2 linked regions of the Sus scrofa genome follow. The main gene of each other region encodes a partner of the protein of the gene in region 2 in a complex. Links are inferred from orthologs where the notes say so. Each region holds a gene or a part of one and is shown on either strand. Other genes may lie near its edges.

Region 1 (5,271 bases), on a different chromosome or scaffold from region 2:
TTTGTCAGTTAAATTCTGATTCCTCTGAAGGCAGGGATTCTCTCTCATTCTTTGGGTATTCTCCATTTACCTGGCACCAAGCTCATAATAGGAACTCAGTGTTTATTAGTAGTATAGCTGTAGGTAAGGAAGGTGGCGGAGTATTTTCACTGCATTAGGTAGACTTGGAATTTAAATATGAGTATTTTTTTCTGATTTCCCTTGAGATTAAATTTTGACAATCTGTAAGAGATGTTCTTGAGTCACTAAGGTCTGTGTTCACACTTGATTATTGGAATGGAGGTTCCTTTAAAGGATGCTAAATTACCTGCAGCTTCTTTGAATAGGAGCACGTATCTTTCATATGTGACCCTAGGATTTTAAATATTGTAATTACAACTTCCACCAAGCTCTGAAAAACAACTTGCGTGTGAGGATGGAGGGAAAATTGGGCTTTGAATTATTGAAAATCACCGATACCCCAGTGATTGTTGTCAATATACAAAATGTAAATAAAATAATATTCTCACTTTTTTTCCATTTGAATTATATTGCTTTGAGTTTAAAAAAAAAAAAAAAAAAAAAAAAAGGCTCCTGCATGCAGAAGTTCAGAGGGCAATCTTAGGTATAAATAGTGAAGCACAATTTTTTAAGTCTCATTTCTGTAATGCATTAGCTATTGAATTGGGCATGCTGCTTAACTCCTCTGAGCCTTAGTTTCTTCGCTTAGGAAATAGAGGTAGTAATAACCTATCTTAAAAGATTAGAGCAAGGACTAGAAAACAGGCCATCTAATGCGCCAAGCACATTACAAATTATCTTTTGCTACTCTTCTTCCCTACTCCCTTATTTTAAATACACATTATTTAATTGAAAGTTTAAATTTTTTGCCCTCTGATGTGTCCTAGCCATTTCGATATTTGTAAGAAAGGTACTCTTAATTATAACAGTGATTAAGTGGGAAACTACTATTTGAAAAAAGATGTTGTCAATACTATGACATGAATTTTTCAAGACTGTATTTTTTGGTTTTATTTCAAAATAGTAAATTTGAAAAAGCATTGAATAAAATTAATATTAAGCTTTAAAAATACATTAAGACTTGTTGCTAGTTTGAGGTGTCATAAAATTTTCTGAAATCAATTCAAAGATCTCTAGGTTAGTGAGAAAACAATTTTGCCACCTTAACGAAGGGCAGTAGTATTACAATAAAACCATTTTGACCAAGCTCTTTGTGGAAAGGAGTTTGCTTACTAAAAACCCCTTTTGTCTCAACCCTTTACATAAATGTTTACAAGCATAATGGTTCACTTTCCTGCCTTAGAGAAACGTATGTATGGAATATAGGAGCCTCTTTGTTTGTAGACTGAGGATCTTTTCATTCCTTATTTTAAATAACAGTTACTATGGTCTGGCAGTGTGGATAGCCTTGTTATAAGTAGGAGATTAGGCTGAAAGTAACCCCAGGGTATACTGTGAAAAGTTACTAACCCCCTCATCTCTCGGATCAGTTACATCTTACGTCTTTCAGACATTTTTTAACAAATTGCAATTCTGGTTTCTTAAAATTTATTCAAGGAGACGTGGGAGATATTTATCCTAGCACCCTCATTTTGTAGATTAAAAACCTGCAGTATAGGTTAATTGAGTTGCTCAGGGATGCAAAAGCACATTCACTAAAAGAAATAGAAATTTAGATTTCCTCATTAAACTGACACTTTAATAGTGTCCCAAATTGTGGTGGTTATCTTTGATCTTCTTTGAAACAGGTAGATCGACACTTGAGAAAGCTGGATCAGGAACTGGCTAAGTTTAAAATGGAGCTGGAAGCTGATAATGCTGGAATTACAGAAATATTAGAGAGGCGTAAGTAAAATTTACAGTTTTCCATCACCGTTGGACAGTACATGTGCACGTCGTTGAGGAGACTCACGTCCCACAGAGACTTTTCCATCTGCTCTTTGGTGAACAGTGGCACCTGGGTGGTATAGCTTGGTCCCCAGCAGTCGGACTGTTTGGGTCATGGATACTTGGAGAGATGATGCAGTATATCAACCACTCACTTTTCCTGAAAATAAAGCCTTAGGTCATTCCATTTGTTAATACGCGTATATGCTAGTTAGAAGAGTGGTAAGAACAAAGATTTAAAGAAATATAACCGTCTAGAAGCAGGGTAGCCATCTGTCGTTAGATGTTGTGACTTTGCCCTGCCTGTTTATGCACCTAAGTATTGAGGAAGGTTGTTATTTTTTCTTAAGAACTGCCTTAAAAAGCTTTTCCTCCACTGTGTTACTCAGATTTTAAAGAGTTCTTCAACACTTCCTCCTTTTCTCAAAAAAGTCTTTTCTAAACTTTCTCTTATCAGTAAGAAGCCATTTTAATATTTCATTGCAAGCCTTGTCTTGATCTCCCGCTATAATTTACCTTTATCACTTCTTGGGTTTAACTCAGGAGACTTCCCTAAAATGGAGACATGAGCTCTGTTTCTTTAACTAATTTAGCATCACTTCCGACCTAAATGGATAATGTCCATCAAATCAGATAGTGTGGTGGCAAGCCCAGTGTAGGCACTCACTAAATGTTAGTTGAATCAAATCAGCATTATGGCTGATTTCTACTAGAATTTAAAGGGTTCGAATATCTCTTTTCTTGGTGCGTTTCAATAGCAAGAACATGTACCTATTTCTACACACAGGTGAAAGGTTTCTTTACGGTGCTAGGTTATATATCCCTGTTTATGTATTCACTAGAAGTCAGCTAGGGAAGCAACCGGATATGAATGTACCCACAGTTGCATTTTTGTATTCAAAAATAAGCCCATCACTTTAGATGACCATCTAATTTATTGTGATGTTTTTATTCCAGGGGAACCCTTACCAAGAATAATAGCTATTTTGAGACAAAATAAAATATTTTATTTTTCTGAAATGCCAATAATAATTGTGAGTAACAGTAATCCATGGCTATTCAGTACTGCAGGAAGGTTAATGAAGCATCCTCTGTAAGGACACAGACATATGAAACTAAATCAAATCAAGTTAAAAAATGGCTCCACCCTGCGCCCTGCCATGATTTCATCTCAAGGGATCTAGATAAACCCAGAAAATTTCTTCAAAAGTATTTTAAAGCTTGGCGGTAAAGATTTTATGCATCATTTTTCATGAGCAAAATCCCTTCTTTTAGAAAGTCTTTGCTATCGTATGTCATTTTAATGATCAGAGAATTTTCTTTCATACAGTGATGTCCCATTGCCTAATACTTTAGGATCTCCTATTAAAAGGTCTTCAATAACACTATGTTGAGTTTTTCAGTTCTTATCAGTAATGGAATCATGATACTCATTCATCCACTTACATGGTCCCAAATGTCATGAATTCCCTAATTAGACATTAGCGTGCCTTGACCTATTTTGTACTTAAGGTGAGCACTGAAAAATGGATTACTTACTGTTTAGAAAGAGGATGAGGTTGGCTCAGGGTGAAATTGGCGGTGGTGACCCTCTAATGTGTTTGGCTAAAATAATACAGACACAGGCATCAGAGCTTGCCAGACATCTCCTGGTTAAGGGTACCCAGTGCCTGTAGTTGATTGACACATAAAGTTCTCTGCTGCGATCTCATGGCCCTGTATCTCTGTGCCTCCCTGTTTTTTTAGGATCTCTGGAATTAGATACGCCTTCACAGCCCGTGAACAATCACCATGCTCATTCACATACGCCAGTGGAAAGTAAGTTTGATTTAGGGCAGCTAAAATTATTTTAAAGACAGTTGAAAATTCATTGTATTACCTATATGTTCTCTTTCATTACCTCTACACGACTGATTGAGAAACAAATATCCTCCCCTTTTATTTTGTGAGATATGTTTTTTCATGCAATTACTGGTGGATTTATCTTCTTCATTTGGGAAGAGCAGATGTGATTTGGGAACAGGTAGCCTGTTTTCCCTGGGATTCACAGAGGGCGATGTGTGGTACTAATAGCAGCATATACTCACTGCATATCGATACCTGCTTCTCTCCAGGGAGCATTATAACTGAGCAGAACAGTAAACTCCACAATTATGGGCTCTTTATCTTTTTCATCCTTGCTTCTCTAGTGCTTACCTTACTGTCTGGCATATAGTAAATTCTCAAATAGTTTGGTGAGTTAGTGAGTGAATGAATGGTCTGTCAGATGCTAGCTGGCTAGATGACTGTATCGGTGCATTTTTTTGCTATGAAAGAAAGGTTGATGGAAGACTATTTTAAATTGTAGAAAATGTTTTGAAAACAAAATTCCCCACATGTTATATGTTAAACCATGTGCATCACGGGTTATCTTCAGTACATTGCTACAAAAAAGTTTTTTTAGTGTCTACTCCAAAAAAGTTTATTGTCTACGCAGTCTGCTCTTAGGAACACGTGTGAGACAGGATTCTGTTTGTCTTGTCTTCTAGGAAAACATAATGTTCTGTATTCCATGAGGAACTCAGGTCATTACTATATTGGCTTATGACCAGATGAAAGTATTATGCCTTTTCCATTGTTCTCTAAAATTTAAAAACACATAAATTCTTTATTTATATTCAGAAAGGAAATATAATCCAACTTCTCACCATACAACAACAGATCATATACCTGAAAAGAAGTTTAAATCAGAAGCTCTTTTATCTACCCTAACATCAGATGCTTCTAAGGAAAATACACTAGGTAAGTTTACTGTCTTAAATACAGTTGCTTTTTTTTTTCATTCGTGCCAAAATAAAGGGAAATGATTAACTATATGATTAACTATATAGATTCCTTACCTGGTTAAAATCTACCATAGGAAAAAAGACGAAAAAGGAAAAAGCTGACATGAAGTTTTTAAATTTAATGATTAAATCTGTGCTAGGGCTCACTAACATTTTGTTCTAAGCATTTTTATTTCTTCTTTAATTCTGTACAGGTTGTCGAAATAATAATTCTGCAGCCTCTTCCAACAACGCTTACAATGTGAATTCCTCCCAACCTCTGGCATCCTATAATATTGGCTCATTATCTACAGGAACTGGTGCAGGGGCAATTACCATGGCAGCAGCTCAAGCGGTTCAAGCTACAGCTCAGGTAAAAAGGAACAGGTTTGGAAACAGAATATAAAATTTTATCTGAATCCTCTCTTAATAGAAGCAACTAGATGTGAACAAAGAGTTTTCTTGCGTTGTATAGTTTTATTTTCAAATCATAGTTTTTATGATAGCTGACATTTAATGAAATGAATATGCAGAAATTACTTGATTGATAAAAGTTAAAAAATATTTTCATACAACCTCA
Region 2 (5,271 bases):
TGTTGGCACTAAAAACTTCGTCTCCTGCAAGTGAACGGTTCTTGCTGTTGAGAGCCCACTCTTCTTTGTTAATGTTCTTTGAAAATGTCCAAGGTGACGATTGTCCTCTCAGTGGGGTTTTGTTTTCCACAAGTTCCCATCACGCCCAGTGAGACTCCACGCCAGTGTCCCGACGAGGGGATCCCGAGTGCTTCGAGGCGTAGATAACAGGGCTTTGTGTCTTCCTGTGCCTGTTTGTTGGCTGCTGTGTTCCATCCCAACTTGTGTTTTATTTATTTCTTTTGGCTTTTTTATACTTTGTTTTGACCATTCTGTGTCAAGGTGTTTTGTTGATGTAAGTCTTGTTTCCTGCTGCTCCTAATCAGCCAACAAGCAAAACCTAAACCAGGACTTGAAGCTTTCTTTAGGAGTGTTAAACTGCCCATGACCTTTCTGATGGTTTGGTATTTGTGTATATAGGGAAAAAAGCAGGAGATTTTCATGGGGGAGAGCAGAGTGTATTGTAAAAGCCTCCGCTCTTGGGAGTAGATGCACGTACCTCTGCTTTTCTTCCCCATTTCTCATCTTTTAGGTATTTTTGCCCTAAATTGTTTTACAATTAGATGTTAATTCTCTGAAACATACAGCCAGTTCTAGAATAAACAGTAAAACCCTAGTGGGCAGATGAATGACTTCGCTTAGATCAAAAAGATCCCATAAACTTCACACCAACTTACTTGGGATGGGGGCACTTGCACAGGGGTTGGGACCGTGGGTACCAAGAAGTCCTTGAGCTCCTATTGAAGCCCCTTGATCCACCTCCGAGCACGTCCCCACGAGCTGGAAGTGTCCCGCTGCTGAGGGAGGCCGAGGCAGTGTGGCCACACCGCCTTTCTGCCCTTGAGCTCTGATGGCTTTTAGTAGATGCCCCAAGGCTGGGAGTGGGTCTTGGAAAATAGTTTGTTTTTATTTGCTTGGGTTCCCAAGTACCATTGCCCAGTTGTGATGACATATTAAAGTTGAATAAAATAAATAAAAGCTCCCCGTAATAGCGAGTACCCCTGCCGATCAGAGCTTTGCATTCAATCCTGTTTAGGAAGGTTCCATGTAGAACTTAGAGGGGAAAACTCACGACCACCCGTCACACACACACACACACACACACACACACACACACACACACACACACACACACACACAGCTTCATTTCACCAGATAATGTCGGCCTGTGGGCTGTTCTGGGGGTGTGGGCCTCAAACATGCTTCATCGAGGGGGATCAGACCCCCTGCTACGCTTCCAGCTTTAGCTGGGAAGAGGTTTTTCCCTAAGGTCTTAGCACTTGACCTCAAATCTTGAAGTACTCACTTTAAACAAAACAGTATTTTAAAGAATGTGTTTGCCTACAATAAGGTCTTAAAGTTTCTCCCCCAGATGAGAATTCTGAACCTCCTGTTCTCTACATTGGATTTAGGCAAGAGTCCACTCCAAGTGACACCGTCAGAAGGGCTGTTTTGACATCTGAAGGGTGGAAGGTGTATTTTTTTTTTTGCTGCTGAGCATTTGTGAATTACTGTGTGCTTTCTGATAACTGTCTTTCCTGTCTTGTTTACCCCACTAATCCTTCCTGTGTATGAGTACTGGGGACGTTCTGTGTCAATAACGTAAATAGAAAAAGCTGATTTTCCTCCCCATCTTCAGGAGAGCATTTCAGAGTGCGGGAGGTGTTCCCTGTCTCCATTCTGTCAGTTTGAGGTGAGAACAACCTATTAACAGTCAGCTTATGACTTGCACTGTGAAGAACAGTTTATATTTCCTTTTCTTTGCTTTTCCTTTGACCTTTTCGTTGCCTTTTTTCATGCTGTGATTTTTGTTTTGGTTCAGCCTGCCGCGGAAGGGGTAGAGGTGAGAATCCCAGTGGAGGCGCAGGCGGGGTTGTTGTCGCACTTGGCTGTGCTGTGACTTGTGGTTCTGTGGTGGACAGCGTGTGTCGTGCCTCTGAGTGCAGTGAGCCGTGTCGTCCGTCTGTGGCGGTTGGAGTAGCACATGGCCGTGACCTGTCCACGCATGTTTCCTGTGAGGACGTGTTTAAGCCAGATTCTCAGTTCGTTGGGGTCCTCCACGCTCGCATCACACTCTCTCAATATTTACAAGATGCAGGCGGAGTTTGCTCTCAGAATGTTTGTGTGAACTCAGGCGTCTGACAAGCTCTCGAGAGGAAATGCCACCAAGAAATCACGCCACCTGCCAGGGGCTGGGAGGCGTTCCATTTCCCGTCACGCTCTGACCAACTGCCGCACACTGGAAACCTACGGGCCCCTCGCCCACCCAGGCCCCCGGGCGTCTCAGGCCCGTCCCGCCGCCGAGGGGGGCATAGCGCCCGCCGTGCCTGCCGACTGCCCGGCTCTGGCTGCCCCTCCTCTGTGAAACGGGGGTGATGACCGCTGTCATTCCTGCCTTCGGTGGGGAGGGGAAGGCACACGAAGTGATTTCCTGACGGTGCTTTGAGAACAAAAGCCCTTAAGACGAGAGCACCGTCGTTGGAATGTCACTCTCATTGCAGGGTAGCCCTTGGGCTGAAAACTTGAACCCCACAGGCGAGGGCTCTGGAGGAGGCACGGGGTGACACCGAGCTGGCTTTTCTCGTTTCTTACCCATCTCACTGCTTGCCTCTTGGCTTAAAGGGGCATCTGGAGAAGCGTCTCGGGTGCTGCCAGGTGCCGTGGTCCATCACGGCTGGTGTTTATCATCCCCGTTTTACCGCGTCCAGAGTAATGGGTGTCCTGTCACACAGCCACCCAGCTGGGACCTCAGGGCGTCTTCCCTTCCCCGTGGCCTGAGTAGCAGCCACAGCACCGTGGGGACTGAGACCGAGAAGGCTGGGGGGACCCCGATGGACTACCCAGCTGCTAGCACATGAAGAAGTGCAAAATTCTTGGTGTTTCCCGTTTTTCGTATCATTCCGTAAAGCAGTTTGTCAGCTGTGTTTTCGGGCCTGGTTGACAAATCTCTAGTGCCACACACAGTTGGTCATTTATTTACATGGATAATTAATTTCCAGGGTAAATTACTTCAGTACTTGTTGAGGACTTTCTCTGTGCTAAGGTTTGAGGGCAAGAGAAGTCTGTGCCCTCAGAACCTAGTGCTTCGGGAAGACTCCATGATGTCATGGCCCCCTGAGGGACTTCTGACACGGCCCCGCGGGGCGAGGGGGCGAGGGGGCTCTCGGCGGCAGCCCTGGAGGTGACTCCGCCCCTCGTCCGTGTGCCTGAAAGCAGACACGGCATCCCTCAGGTGCACGGGCAGCTCCTCCCGGCCACAGTTGACAGGTGCAGTCTGGAGGCCAAGGGCCCCTAGTTTCCTTAGGCCACAGCCGTGATCTGAGGTGGGTACGTTGTGGCTTTTACATGTTACCTCTGCTTCTGTGGGCTAGCCTTGCGAATGTAGCTAGAGCACAGTAGGGTCTGTAGCAATGCTGGTATCTCTAACTAGCAAAATCAGTTGGCCTATGGCGTAATTTCTGGCTTCTCTTCCTTAGGAAATGAAAATTTGCTCGGCAATCATAAACCTCTTCCACCTGATCCCAGCTGCACCGCAGACTCTGGTCAAGCCTTTGTTGGAGGTTGTGATGAAAACGGAACGTGCTATGTTGATCGAGGTAGCGGTCGAACGCGGGTTGACGCTCGTTTTTCCTCCGTCTGTCGTTGCTTGCGGTGTCCTCGCCTTGTCGTGTTTTAGATGATTGACCAGGAGCGTAAAGATGTCAGGTGTTAATATTTGCTTGTGGTGCCTGCACTCCCAGGACAAGGCAGGGAAAGGCACACGGCTGCCCTGTGAGGTCGCGAGGCCGGAAAAGCCTCCAACCTCAAAAAAATGCAGCCTTCACCCCGTGTCCTGTAGGCTGGCAGTCCATTCCGAGAGCCTCTGATCAAGTTCCTGACCCGCCACCCCTCGCAGACGGTGGAGCTGTTCATGATGGAAGCCACGCTGAACGACCCCCAGTGGAGCAGGATGTTCATGGTGAGAGCGGGGCCCCTGCCGGAGCTCTACCCGAGTTTCTGTCTCCCTGCTCAGTGGCCTGCTTTTGTTTCTCTCCTGTGTGTGTATTAGCAACACTGTTGCCCATGGGAAAAGCTCACCCCTCTGTCTAGGCATTTGGTGGGGTAACGAAGGAAGGAGCTGCCAGGATTAATGACAATCGTGATGCGTGGTAGCTGTCGAAAAGCCTTTTTTGAAGAGGGTGCTTACATGATTTTCCTTTCTTTTTAAGCCCCCTTAGAGTTCCTATCATCCAAACATTTTGTGAGTTTTGATTCGCTTAAAACACCTGTTGGGTTTGCTTGGTTTTTAGAGTTTTTTAAAACACAAAGACGCCAGACCTCTTCGAGACGTGCTGGCGGCCAACCCGAACCGGTTCATCACGCTCCTGCTGCCGGGCGGCGCCCAGGCGGCCGTGCGCCCCGGCTCGCCCAGCACCAGCACCCTGCGCCTGGACCTGCAGTTTCAGGCCATCAAGGTAGCACTCCTGTCCTCTGGACGCCCGGCGTCCCGAGCGTTCCGGGGAGGCCAGCCAGAGCCCTGTCGGCATCCCCCCTGTCTCCTCTTTGGCAGATCATCAGCATCATAGTTAAAAACGACGACTCCTGGCTGGCCAATCAGCACTCTCTGGTGAGCCAGCTGAGGCGCGTGTGGGTCAGTGAAACCTTTCAGGAACGACACCGGAAGGAGAACATGGCTGCCACCAACTGGAAGGAGCCCAAGCTGCTGGCTTACTGTCTGCTGAACTACTGCAGGTGGGCGCCTCCGCGTGCTCCGCCCCGAGAGCCCTGCTGCCCAGTCAGCGCAGCCCGGGCCCCTCCCCGCCGCGCGTTGCTGGGCTCGCCGGGTATGTGTGGGCAGACGTGCTGCGGAGAGAGGGCTGTGGCCGCCAGTTGCTGTAAAGACAGGTGGCCATCATGCGGAGCGAGGGCCTTGGCCGTGACGTGACCTGCCTGCTCCTTGCCACCCTTCAGGAGGAACTACGGAGACATAGAGTTGCTCTTCCAGCTGCTCCGGGCCTTCACGGGTCGTTTCCTGTGCAACATGACGTTCTTGAAAGAGTACATGGAGGAGGAGATTCCCAAAAGTTACAGCATCGCTCAGAAGCGGGCCCTGTTTTTTCGCTTTGTGGACTTCAATGACGCCAACTTTGGAGATGAACTCAAGGCCAAGGTGGGTCCCGCTCGTAACGCAGCAGAAGCCACGGCGTCTGAGCTCGTTGCCGAGGGAGCCGAGGGCACCGCTTGAGTTCCGCC

The links.
Region 1: TRRAP (region 2) and ING3 share a complex: the UniProt entries of both Homo sapiens proteins name them as parts of the SWR1-like complex. The link is inferred for Sus scrofa from reciprocal best matches to the Homo sapiens genes TRRAP and ING3.

The regions. Positions count from the first base shown.
Region 1 is NC_010460.4:25,955,339-25,960,609, reverse strand, and holds part of ING3 (inhibitor of growth protein 3), read left to right. Parts: intron 1-1,748; coding exon 1,749-1,845; intron 1,846-3,633; coding exon 3,634-3,705; intron 3,706-4,548; coding exon 4,549-4,668; intron 4,669-4,906; coding exon 4,907-5,064; intron 5,065-5,271. UniProt on the Homo sapiens protein: Component of the NuA4 histone acetyltransferase (HAT) complex which is involved in transcriptional activation of select genes principally by acetylation of nucleosomal histones H4 and H2A.
Region 2 is NC_010445.4:5,968,697-5,973,967, forward strand, and holds part of TRRAP (transformation/transcription domain-associated protein), read left to right. Parts: intron 1-1,678; coding exon 1,679-1,732; intron 1,733-1,861; coding exon 1,862-1,882; intron 1,883-3,515; coding exon 3,516-3,635; intron 3,636-3,877; coding exon 3,878-3,997; intron 3,998-4,328; coding exon 4,329-4,493; intron 4,494-4,588; coding exon 4,589-4,770; intron 4,771-4,989; coding exon 4,990-5,188; intron 5,189-5,271. UniProt on the Homo sapiens protein: Adapter protein, which is found in various multiprotein chromatin complexes with histone acetyltransferase activity (HAT), which gives a specific tag for epigenetic transcription activation.